3 linked regions of the Sus scrofa genome follow. The protein of the gene in region 3 interacts with the protein of the main gene of each other region in a biochemical or structural test. Links are inferred from orthologs where the notes say so. Each region holds a gene or a part of one and is shown on either strand. Other genes may lie near its edges.

Region 1 (3,678 bases), on a different chromosome or scaffold from region 3:
TCTAAAAAAAACCTGTTCCTGTTTCTACCCTACTTTAAACTTTTCCCTAGTCTATAACGCTGACTGGGTAAAGCCCCGGTTTCTTAGCAAAGCACACAGGGAGGGCCTCCCGTGTGGCCATGCCCACCCATCAGTTCTTGTCTGGCACGCCCCTCACGTCCCCACAGTACAAAAGTGAGTTTCCTTCCGTGCAAGCAACTACGACTTTGTAGGTTGTTTTCTTTACCTAAAAAACTCATTTGTCTTCTTGTTCTCTTTTTACCGCTCTTTTGCTCCCTGAGAAACATGCACATATTTTTTGTCTCATCATAAACTGGTCTGTATTACAATTTATGACCATTTCTGTGCTTAATCTTACTCATCTTCCCCCCCCCCAGGACAAATGTAGGCAGTAACTCAGTTTCATAGGTAAGTCTTACATTTATGTTAATAGTCCAGTGACTTACATTTTTGTTAGTATTTATGCCAGTCTTTCCCACTAGACCGGGAGCTAAAAGGCAGAATCTTGAGGGTTTTATGCTCCTCCATCTTCAAGTTCTGATAGTGACAGGAAAAAAAAATACAAGTTGAAGGGACATTAAGTGCCCTGCTCGAACACCTGCAGTCACAGGGCGAGGATTAAAACCCAGAGTCTTAATCAAGTGTGTTTCCAATTGCCCCTGGGTCCCCATTCTCTAGTTCCCAGACGAAACAATAAGGAAAGGAGGACAGGCATTGTCATTGCCCCTTGGTTTTCCTCGCCCTCCCACACACCCCAAGGGATATGGGGTTATGGGGGGTGATTGGGGGCTCAGCCACAGGATGTTTAAACCAGGTACAGCGTCCACTTTGTAGCTGCAAGTCATCGCTACCCTTGCCGTTCGCCGTGGTGCGGTGCAGGAACGGGTTCTTGCCGTTGATCGCCCCGCCCCTGCTCCCACACCTCAGGGACGCCTCTTCCGCCAAATTCGTGTCGCCTCCTTGCGGCGCCTGCGCACTGTCACATTACGGCGGAACTAATCCCGCGACCCTGCGCTCTGACGCCTTTAGTGCCAGGAAGGGAAAAGGGGGACCACAGAACGCGTCACACCCGGAAGCGGAGAGCCGGAAGTGGGGTTGGACAGGTTATCCCCAGGGGTGGGGCAGCGGAGGCCCAGGAGGAGGGGGAAAAAGAAGGTGGAGGAACCTGGCTACTAATCTGAATCCGATACGGATTCTCTTAGACCTCAGAGACACAGAAAAGAGAGAAGGGTGCCTCATCCCCCTTCCTCCCCTCCTTCCTCTCCTCAGCCTTAGCCATGGCGGAGGCAGGGGCCGGGCTGAGTGAGACCGTCACTGAGACAACGGTTACCGTGACAACCGAGCCCGTGAGAAAGGCGGGGGGCGGTGCTGTTTAGGGGTCGGGGAGCTACCGGGAGGGAAGGGATAGGGCTTTGGAGAGTTGCTGGAGGGGCTGGGCCTGGGGATGTGGGAGGAGTGGGGTTGTGAGAATCGCAAGGTATTGGGGATTTTTGGTGTGTCAGAGTTGGTGCAGAAGGCTGGTCGAGAAGCGTGTTATATATAGAGTTAGGATGTAGGTGATGCTGCTTGGGGGAGGGGGGCTTGTAGAAGTAAAGAAAGAACGGGAACTTGGAGATTACGGAGCAAGGGAGGTGCTGGGGGAAATGAAGGGCTGTGTAAGAAAGCATGGTTGGAGGCCAGCTGCAGGGGAACTTGACTGGAAGCATGCTTATGAATAAGTATTCGTTGAAGGGATGAATGCGAAAGGAAGCAAAAGAATGAGGGAACAAGAAAAGGGAGATGAAGATAGTATTTTGAGAAACCAGCGGAGATGTAAATAGAGAAAAATGTAGCATTTTTGCCAAAACAGGTTAAGTTGCTTTCATTGGGAAAAGATTGTATGGAACTTCATAACCCTTGAATTAAGGGAGTTTAGAGTAATAGTAATTGGAGCTGTCAGGATGGTGGAGAATAGATGGATAAGAGGTGGGGAGTGCTGGGCTTGAGGATGAGACAGGTGAGAACAGAGTTCTTTCTTTAATGGGAAAAAGAATAGGGGGTCTGGAAAAAGAAAGAGATCAAAGAGTAGGCATCGGTGACTGAGGAAATAATTTCCATGTGTTAATACCACCAAGGATGATTTGGGGAGGAAGATGGAGAAACAGCGAGGATTATATTTTCCTTTGAAGATTTGCTGGGACCTTCCCTAGGTTAGGAATTGTGTCTTCTCTGTATACTAGTGATTACCAAGAACAGGAGATAACATGTCACGATTCCTCTAGGGACACCCTGAGGTCCAAAACCTGTTCTATTTTATCTTCTCCCAGCCCTCAGCTCCTCTGGCCTTAGGTCCATGATCCTGACTGAGCTGGGAAAGGGAAGAGAGGAGCCCCCCCCCCCCAGCTCCCGCCCCGGGAGGTAGGGGGAAAGGTTAGTGGGAGGGGATTCGATAGGTAAGCCCATCCTTCTTACCTTCCAGGAGAACCGGAGCCTAACCATCAAACTTCGGAAACGGAAGCCAGAGAAAAAGGTAGAATGGACGAGTGACACTGTGGACAACGAACACATGGGGCGCCGCTCATCAAAATGTGAGTAATTGTTGGCCCACAGTAACCCTGGAGTCCTGGCTCCCCTGAGCATATCTTCTACCTTGTCACATCCACTGGCCTTCCTGAAGCCTGCAGGTGCTCACAATTCTGTCGTTGTCTGGGGGATTCTCTGGTGTCAGGGAGAGAAGGTTAGAGTTAGAGGGAAGGAGGTCAGGAGGGGCTTGAACTGGGATGTGCTAAGGCCTGAAGTCAGGACATATCTGAAATGGGAGAAATGGAGCTTTAGATTCCTGGCTGGAAAGGACGAGGGAGTTGGGTGCTTGAGTCCCAGGGTGTGAGCCAGGGCTGCTGGATCCTGGAAGGTAACTCTTCCTCCTTTTTAACTGGGCTCCTCCTTTCAAATCCAGGCTGCTGTATTTATGAGAAACCTCGGGCTTTTGGCGAGAGTTCCACGGAGAGTGATGAGGAGGAAGAGGAGGGCTGTGGTCATACACACTGTGTACGGGGCCACCGCAAAGGACGGCGTCGTGCAACCCCGGGACCAAGCCCCACCACCCCTCCGCAGCCTCCCGACCCCTCCCAGCCCCCTCCAGGGCCAATGCAGCACTAAATTCCTCTCTCCCCCACCATTCCTGTGTCTGTCTGGCCCTGAATGTATTCATGTGGCTCCTTGGGGACTAAACCCATGTTTGATCCCTTCTCCAGCCCCTTCCTCCCCTCTCCGGATAGAAGGAAACAGGAGAGGAGGGTGGACAGAGATCCCGGAATTCTGACTTGCTGCTATTCCAGAGCCCAGGCTTCTGGGTTCTCTGAGTCCTCATTTCTCTTCCCAGTACCCAGCTTCCTCTCTCCAGGGATCCAGGCATCTTGGTCCCAATCTCTTCCCTTTGTTCTCACTGCCAAACTGCCTGTCCTGGGATCCAGTTATCCTGGCCCCATGCACTCTCCACTTGAGTCCCAAACAGTTAAACTGGGTTTCCAACAGCCCCAGCTTTCACTGCCAGGGTCCTAGTCAGATTCCAGGCAACCTCGGCCCAGCTACGCTTGTTACCCCTGGCTTAGAGCTCTTCCACTGCTGTCTTTACATAATGCTAACTCTTAGTCCTGGCCTGTGGGATTGTGAGGTCTTATGAGAGACCTCAGGGCGCTC
Region 2 (4,272 bases), on a different chromosome or scaffold from region 3:
GCCACTATCCCGCTGCTCTGCTTCTTCCCTTCTTCGTCGCCCGACTCTTCCGACTCCACCCGCCTGTCAACTGAACCCACACACAGCCATGAGAACTCACACCCGCTTCCAGGGGCTCCTGGAAGAACATGTAAGACTGATACCCAGTTACAAATCACAAAGACGTCGCTCAAAGACGTCTGTTGAGTTCAGCGTGCTCCATGGGTGTCCCGGGCACCCTCTGAGGTGGCCGGTGGAGGGGAGACCTGGGGGCCTGGGGGGGGGCAGAGCAGGGAGGCCACAGGGTGTGGAGGTGAGTGACCACCTCTTCCTGCCCTCAAGGAACTCGTGGAGAATCGCCAGGCATTCTGAAAGCCCTGGCGCTTTGCGACTCAAGGCGCTAATGGCAACACGTGAAGCACCTCCTGTTCCGCTCGCTTCTGGCCTAGATGCCACGTAGAGGGCACTACTGTGACCCTGCTGCCACATACCTTCGTCCACGCTCCACTATCCACTTGGCCAAGAAAACCAGCCCAGTTCACAGGCCCACGTGCTGAAAGAAATCAAGACTAACTCAAATCAGACTGTGGGCAGGGGGAGCTCTATGAAAAAGGAGAAGACAGCCAGAGGTGCAAATGCCCCAGGAAGGTCACTGACGCTGAGTGTCAGGGCACCGTGATACCAGCACAGAGTTTCGGAAGGCTGATAAATAAATATTTTGTGAATGAATAAATCAGGCAACGGCTAGATGAGGCAGACTCCTAAAAAGCCTTTGGCAAGACTGTCAGATAATTTTCCTTTTTCCTAACTTTCTTTGCAGCCTCTTCCAGATGCCTGTTTGGAAGACCTGGAGCACTAACAGATGCCCTGGACTCCTCGCCCACCCTGGACGTCCACTCTCCTCTTCGACAAGAACTTAGCTACAGAGGGTGTGCTCCTTGAGGGAAAGGAAGCTCTGTTTCATCTTTGCCTCTCCTGCCGGGCCTAGCAAATCAGCACCCAGGAAAGGACTGTGGGCACGTCCTAACGAAAGCCAGCCCTCGAACCTCCCAGGCCATCCCTTCTCCCTGCCCTGACAGCTGCCTTGGATCAGCTGCTCATGACCTGGGGCCTGGGCTCCCAACTGGTCTCTCGGTGGCTTGTCTCGCTCTGTTTAATCTATTCTCCATTGCTAGAGAATGCTCTGATTCTAAAATCCAAATCTGATCTTTGACTCCAACAATTTCTGGAGTGCCAGGGCTCTTCCTGCGTTTGCATCTTGCCCGGCAGACATGGCTTTGGCGTCTTTTTTCCTTCTCCTTCTTCAGTCCCCTTGTCTGTAGAAGGAGGTGGTACAGCCCTTGCATTTCGGAGCTGCTATCAGGCACGAAACATGTGCAAGACACACGTGTAGACATTTAATAGGTTAGCTGTTAGCAGGCACAGGGCACTCTGTGGTCAAGGCTAAGGGGCAGCAAGTTCTCCTGGACGATGGTCTGGCGTGGCTGAGCCCAGGGCGGGCGGGGCTTAGCAAATGAAGGGCAGCCAAAGTGAACCTTGGGACTATCCTGAGGGGCAGGGCAAGGGACAGCAGATCAGCACACAAGGAGACTTGGGACGGGCTCAAGGTATGGGCCGTAGGAATGGGAGCGGTAGTGAACATTTGGAGACATTAAGGAGGTGATTAATCGCATGGGTGGGAGCAGGAGAGAGAGAACTGCTAGGGTTGCCATTTGCCATTTACCAAGACAAGGAAACAGGTGAAGAGGAAGCCCAGGGAGGTGGGAGGTGGGAAGAAGGGGGATGAGAAGCGGTGCTTCCTTGCCTCAAAAGATCTAAACGCCTCAAAGTCCATGACCTTTCACGTGTGCCCCCTTCCAGGACGGCTCTGGCCAGCGTCGCTGGCACCCTCCCCCACTCAATATGACTGTGCGCTCCTCCAAACGGGTCACATTCTCTCACACCCTCTTGCCCTCATCCAAGCGGCTTCCCTCACCTGAAAGGATCTATGATCTGTCCCGCAGCCTATCCACAACCTGGCTGACTTGCAGTTAGCCTTCTAGGTTCAGCGAAGAGCGGGCCTTGGTTGTGCAGCCTCCACTCCCAAGCATGCCAAGCCTTCCTGTTTTCCCCTCGGCTCCCCACCCTTCCTTCCCTAGCTAGCACCTCACACACGAGACAGCGGCTGCTCTTGGGAAAGCTGCGGACGCCCGTGTGTAAGCACCCAAAGACACCGCTGACTCTCCGGGTCGGGGTTAAGTGTGTGTAGGTAATTACATGCATACACAATACGCAAATAATTTTTTTCAACAAAGCAAAAAAGTTGAAATGTAGGTTTTTTTTGAACTATGATAGCTTTGGAAACAGAAAGCTGTCGATTCTAAAACTCGACTCTTGGCTCCTTGTCACCCCTTCCCCACAACCCACGGGCTGTCGAGGACCCTCCTCCAGCCCCGCCACGCTGACTCGGGCAGGTCCCAGGGAGCCCCGTGCCCGGTTTCATCGTCAGCTGCCGGGGGACCTGGCTCGCGAGTCAGGCTCAAGAGATCCGGTGGGAGGCTCCCTCGGGCTGGCCGACGCCGGGGCTGCGGGACCACCGCGCCCTCAGTCCCCTCCCACGCGCCCGGCTCGCCCCGCCTCTCGCCCCTGGCTCTGGGTTGGGCACTTCCCCAGCCGCCCGCTACGCCTCTGCCCGGGGTCCCCAGGTCCGGGGCCGCCCCCGCCCTGCCGGCTGGCAGATGTCAGACGGCGCGCGCTGCGGGGCCCAAGCCGCGGCCGGAAGCGCGCCGCCCCGTTTCTCTCGGGCAAGTCCGGTACGGGCCGCCGCCCCCACCCGCTGGGCCCTTCGGTCGCCGCCCCGCGAGGCCACTCACCCTCCATCATCTCCTGCGACTGTTGCTGGCCCGTGCCGCGCTCCGCCGCCATGTTCGCTGCTCTCCCCCTTTCCGGAATCTGTCGCCTCAGGCCCCTCAGCCAATCAGGGCTCCCAGCTCAGAGCTTTCCCAGCCAATGGAGTCCCACGCGCTTTGCGCGGCCCCAGAGTCTCATGGGAGTTGTAGTCCTCCTGCGAGGCCGCGCCCATCCTCAGCCCCCCCGCAGCCAGCCTCACCTCCCGGCAGGCAGCTGATTAGTGCCGGGGAGGCTCTGGAAGCGAGGAGCGGGAAAAAGGCAGGTGCAGTCGGGGCCGGACGCATGGAGCTGAGCCTGCAGGCGAGCGGGAGGAGTCTGGGAGGCGATCCGCGCTCGTGGGCTGGTGGCTGGATACGGAGGGGCGGGTCCCTGCGTGGGGCTGCAAAGTGAGGGTCAATCGAGTGCGAACCGGCCCCGCTGGGTCTCAGTGGCTGCGTCTGCACAATGGGCAGACTTTGTCCCAACGTCGCTGCGCGGAGTTGGCCCGTGTGAAGGGGCCGCTTCCAGCTAACGCACAGCTCAGTGCGCCTGTACTCGTTCCGGAGCCGGGACCTTCCGCACGCGGGGTTGGAGAGCAGGTCGGGGCCCGGGACGCCGACCCAGCCACTGCGGGCCCCACAGCGCCGTCAGTCCCCGGCCCCGCAGGCAGCATGGGCCGTGAAGGAGCCGCCTTGCGCGCCCTGCCTTCAGGCCGACGCCTGTGGGAGGCAAGCTCCGCTCTGTTCACCGCCTCAATCCTGAGGCCAGAAGCACGGCGTCCGCGGACTGCGCAGGTGGAGGCGCAGCCCCTTTGGCTCCTCCGAGGCGCCGTAGGCCTCCGGTGCGTCCCTAGCAACCGTTGTCGCGCGCGTCTCGGCTCGCTCGCTGGGTCCCGCCCACCGGCGCCAGGGGTTGGCCCGTGGGGACTGCCGTTTGGCGCCGGCCGCCCTGCCATTGGCTGGCGGGGCAGGAGGCGCGGATCGGTTCCTTCTTGGCGGGTGAAGCGAACTCGGCGGGTGACTCTCCGGCCTTCGGTGAGAAGCGTGCGCTGAGAGCCGGCCCGCGCCCCGCGCCGCCCGCCTTCCCTCCGTGCGGTCCGGCCGGCTGGAGGCCCGCTTGCCGCCTTGCGGCCGTTTGCCGCCATCCGCGCCGCGGCAGGTCCTGGGGCCACACGCCCCCCGCACTATCCTCACCCTCGGAGGGGCTGGGTGCCCTCGTCCCCGCTGGAAGGTGGGCCCCGGGAGAACGCGCGGCACGGAGCTCTTCCGCGCAGCGCGGGGTGAAAGCGTGAGCCCGCTACCTCTCTGGCCTTTGTCTTCAACCTGCTCACCCGCGCCTTTTTTTTCTTTCTGGCCGCGCGCACCGCACGCGGAAGTTCCCGGGTCAGGGGTCGAACCCGATTCCGGGCAGTGACAACGCCGCATC
Region 3 (3,644 bases):
ATCAAGGACAGTTTTAGAAAAGACTCCTTGAGAAAAAGTGATCGTGATCAGAGAGTGGTCGTCAACTGTGTAATCACTGCCCTCTTTTCATAGCAAATATAACACCACCTTCACTATCCTCAGTGAAGACTTTACAGATAATACAATCTATCTATGCATTTTATTTCCCAAAAAAATTTATCTTGAATATGGTGAAGAAGTGAGGAAGGTTATTTATTATAAAATTAGACATACTTCAGTTTATAAACGCCCGGGTGTGACACCCCAGGTAACATAACAGAGAAGTCCAATAGTTAGCACCTGTGTACAGTCAGGCCCTTCTCATGTAAATGTGACAAACATGAAACAGCATAACGGGGTGTGTGAAGATGGCAGCTTAATTACTTTAAGTGACACGCGGTCAGGGACTTGGTAGGGTTCCAAACAAAACAAAGTTCAGTGTTGGGTTTATATGGCAGATGAGTTCCTGGAAAAAACAATTTTTGCGTATATGTGGGGTGGAGCCTGAGCCTTAGGTTTTAGGCTCAGATGTTATAAACATCATTGTCATCCATGTGACTCTGGCGGTGGCCCTCTGTTTCTGTGGAACCCGAGACAAGTCTTCACTGGGCAAGAGGGACCCCCAACCCCTGCCATGGTCCTGACGCCAAAGGAGGGGAGTACTCACACGTAGCACGACAGTCAGTCACCCCAGCAAACTTCTAGACTCCCCAGGGGACTTAGCAATAAATATCTACATCAACCATCACGTCCTCCCAGGGTTTCTAGTGCCGACTTAGCTGTAAATTGCTGCCCAGCAGTTCGGCTTTCTTACGCTCAGAAGCACTGCAGCTTCACCGTGACAACAAAACTCCCAGGGTGGAGAGTCACTAAGGAGAAATCTGTTGCAGCACTAAGAAAGAAATACAACTATAAATATAATAAATTCATCGAGTAGTAAAAAAAGAAAAAAAAATACCTCTGGGAACTAATCAATCATCACAGGAATTTTTAAATTGTAAATGAAGCAAAAATGGCTCTTTTCAAGCTCATAACTTAACTATAGCAGTTTCAGCTGTATAGACTTATTTTCTAAAAAGTTAACTAAAACCTTTTTCCCTTTTTAAAAAAGTCTTTCTTATTTTTTAATACAGTTTTAAAGGTTACACCCAATAGTGTGTACCTCCTACTCTGCCACCCCCATATTGCTCCCCACTAGTAATGGATCTCTGAATCTGCTTTTTTTTGGTCTTTTTGTCTTTTTAGGGCTGCACCCCTGGCCTATGGAGGTTCCCAGGCTAGGGGTCTAATAAGAGCTGTAACTGCCAGCCTGCACCACAGCCACAGCCACGCCAGATCCAAGTCACATCTGTGATCTACACCACAGCTCATGGCAACGCCAGATCCTTAACCCACTAAATAAGGTCAGGGATCAAGCCCGCAACCTCATGGTTCCTATTCAGATTCATTTCCGCTGCGCCACGGTGGGAACTCCCTGAGTCTGCTTCTTATTTTGTTATATTCACTAATTTGCTGTGTTTTTTAGATTCTACATGTCAGATCATACGGTATTTGTCTTTGACTTATTTCAGTTAGCATAATGACCTCCAAGTCCATCCACGTTGCTGCAGATGGCAAAATTTTGGGTTTTTTATGGCCAAGTAGCATTCAGTTGTGTGTATGTATGTATGTCTATATATATATATATACACACACCACATCTTCTTTATTTTTTCATGTGGATATAAACTATATTGAACTCAGTTTGATGTCTAATATTATGAGGTTTCCTATGTTTTAAAACATCACCTCTTCTTTATCCACTCTTCTGTGGATGGACACAGGTTGCTGCCATACCTTGGCAGTTGTAAATAATGCTGCTATGAACATTGGGGTGCATGTATCTTTACAAATTAGTGTTTTTGCTTTTTTCAGATATATGCCCGGGTATGGAATTGTTGGGTCCGATGGTAGTTCTAGTTTTAGTTTTTAGAGGAACCTCCACACTGTTCTGCACAGTGGCTGCACCAGTTCACATTCTCCCCAACCGTGTACGGAGCTTCCCTTTTCTCCACATCCTCGCCAACATTTGTTATTTTGTTCTCTTGATGACAGCCATTCTGGCAGGCGTGAGGTGATCTCCTTGTGGTTTTCCCTTTTTTAAGAGAGATTCCCCTGGAGCTTCAGCGGCTGGTCCGTGGCGGCCACGTGAACTTGGATATGGAGGACCATCAGGATCAGGAGTATGTTAAGCCCAGGCTGAGGTTCAAGGCTTTCAGTGGAGAGGGACAGAAACTTGGAAGGTAAGATCCTAGCTGAGAAAAACACTTGTCTTGTTCAATATGCATTTGCTTTGAAAAGAAAAGCAAAATCACCTAAAAGTAAAAACTAAAATACGAACTGTATAGACCTTGCTGATGGAATTAGATGTGCAAATCTGGTGATAGTGTTGGCAGGTAATACTTAGACAGCAGGTACCACATTCCTGGCCCTCTAGGCACGTTCGCCTGCATTGACCCTCTAATCGTCACAACAGCTCCTCGGCATAGGTCCTCTTATTACTCCTTGTGTAATGCAGTCGTTTGCCATGGGTGAGCTAGTAAGTGGTCAGCCTGCGGGGGTCACACCAGGCATTCAGGCTATGGAGCCTGTGCTCTTTACCACCAAGCCATCATCCCGCCTGTTTCTGATTACGATTTCATGGGCTCAGAGAGGGGAAATGTTGATGAGCTGAAAACCGTAGATACTTTAGGTCACAGCTATAAGCATCCCTCTGCCGTAGGTAGCTGTTGAGCTCCCAAAGCAAAAGCAGTGTGCTTAAATTGGTTATTTGCCGTATATTTTAAGCAGCCAAACTCTTCCTTCAAGTTATAGAAACAGATATAGAACTTCTCTGATTGTAGGAAGAGGGAATTTTCTCTGAGACATTTTCCAAAGAACCCCGGGACTTTGCCAAGCATGATTCAGACAAAGCCAGCGTGCATGGTGGAATGTCTGAGTGGGCTCCCTTGTAACAGCCACAGCTCGGCTCTTCCTGAACCTTGTAAAGTGTGCAGGTGGAGCGTGACCATCCCTTTGTCCACACGTTACTGCAGGTGGCGTGCTGAACTGTGGCTGAACTTCCAGCGTCCCTTTTGTACACGCTTTGTCCTTTCGATGCGAGTCCTTCCCCTCCAGGTTTTTTTCAGGTGCTTTGTGCACACAGGTTCTCTTTCCTCATTCATTTCCCAGCAAAGGAACGAATTCAGTATCCGTTCTTTCACCTGTCTTATATCTCAAGTCTCCCTTTCTATATCTTCGTCTTTGATGAGAGGCTGACTTCTGAGATGTGTGGAGCGCACAGTAACAGGAATTGACCTGGCTTTTAGGACAGATCTGCTTGGAACTTTTCGCTCTCATCTCCTTACTGCCAACACAGTCAGGCTTCTCCTGAATCATTCTATTTCTTCCCTCCTTTTGATTTCATAACTCTGACCCCAGATTTTTTTTTTCTTTTCTTTTTTTTTTTTTTTTTGGCTGCATCATGCAGCCACTTGATGTGGAATCTCAGTTCCCAGACTGGAGATTAAAAGTGCCAAATCTAGGCGTTCCCATTATGGCACAGTGGAAACGAATCCGAGTAGTATCCATGAGGTTGCAGGCTCAATCTCTGGTCTTGCTCAGTG

What was found.
Region 1: the proteins of UBXN2B (region 3) and PPP1R11 form a complex in vitro, tested with the Homo sapiens proteins (2 studies listed by BioGRID). The link is inferred for Sus scrofa from reciprocal best matches to the Homo sapiens genes UBXN2B and PPP1R11.
Region 2: the proteins of UBXN2B (region 3) and PPP1R7 form a complex in vitro, tested with the Homo sapiens proteins (2 studies listed by BioGRID). The link is inferred for Sus scrofa from reciprocal best matches to the Homo sapiens genes UBXN2B and PPP1R7.

The regions. Positions count from the first base shown.
Region 1 is NC_010449.5:22,632,797-22,636,474, forward strand, and holds PPP1R11 (protein phosphatase 1 regulatory subunit 11), read left to right. Parts: upstream 1-1,277; coding exon 1,278-1,346; intron 1,347-1,426; exon of another isoform or gene 1,427-1,954; coding exon of another isoform or gene 1,955-1,996; intron 1,997-2,458; coding exon 2,459-2,567; intron 2,568-2,935; coding exon 2,936-3,138; downstream 3,139-3,678. UniProt on the Homo sapiens protein: Atypical E3 ubiquitin-protein ligase which ubiquitinates TLR2 at 'Lys-754' leading to its degradation by the proteasome.
Region 2 is NC_010457.5:139,916,650-139,920,921, reverse strand, and holds the start of PPP1R7 (protein phosphatase 1 regulatory subunit 7), read right to left. Parts: upstream 2,917-4,272; 5' UTR 2,884-2,916; coding exon 2,832-2,883; intron 533-2,831; exon of another isoform or gene 471-532; intron 71-470; coding exon of another isoform or gene 1-70. UniProt on the Homo sapiens protein: Regulatory subunit of protein phosphatase 1.
Region 3 is NC_010446.5:74,417,052-74,420,695, reverse strand, and holds part of UBXN2B (UBX domain-containing protein 2B), read left to right. Parts: intron 1-2,144; coding exon 2,145-2,282; intron 2,283-3,644. UniProt on the Homo sapiens protein: Adapter protein required for Golgi and endoplasmic reticulum biogenesis. Involved in Golgi and endoplasmic reticulum maintenance during interphase and in their reassembly at the end of mitosis.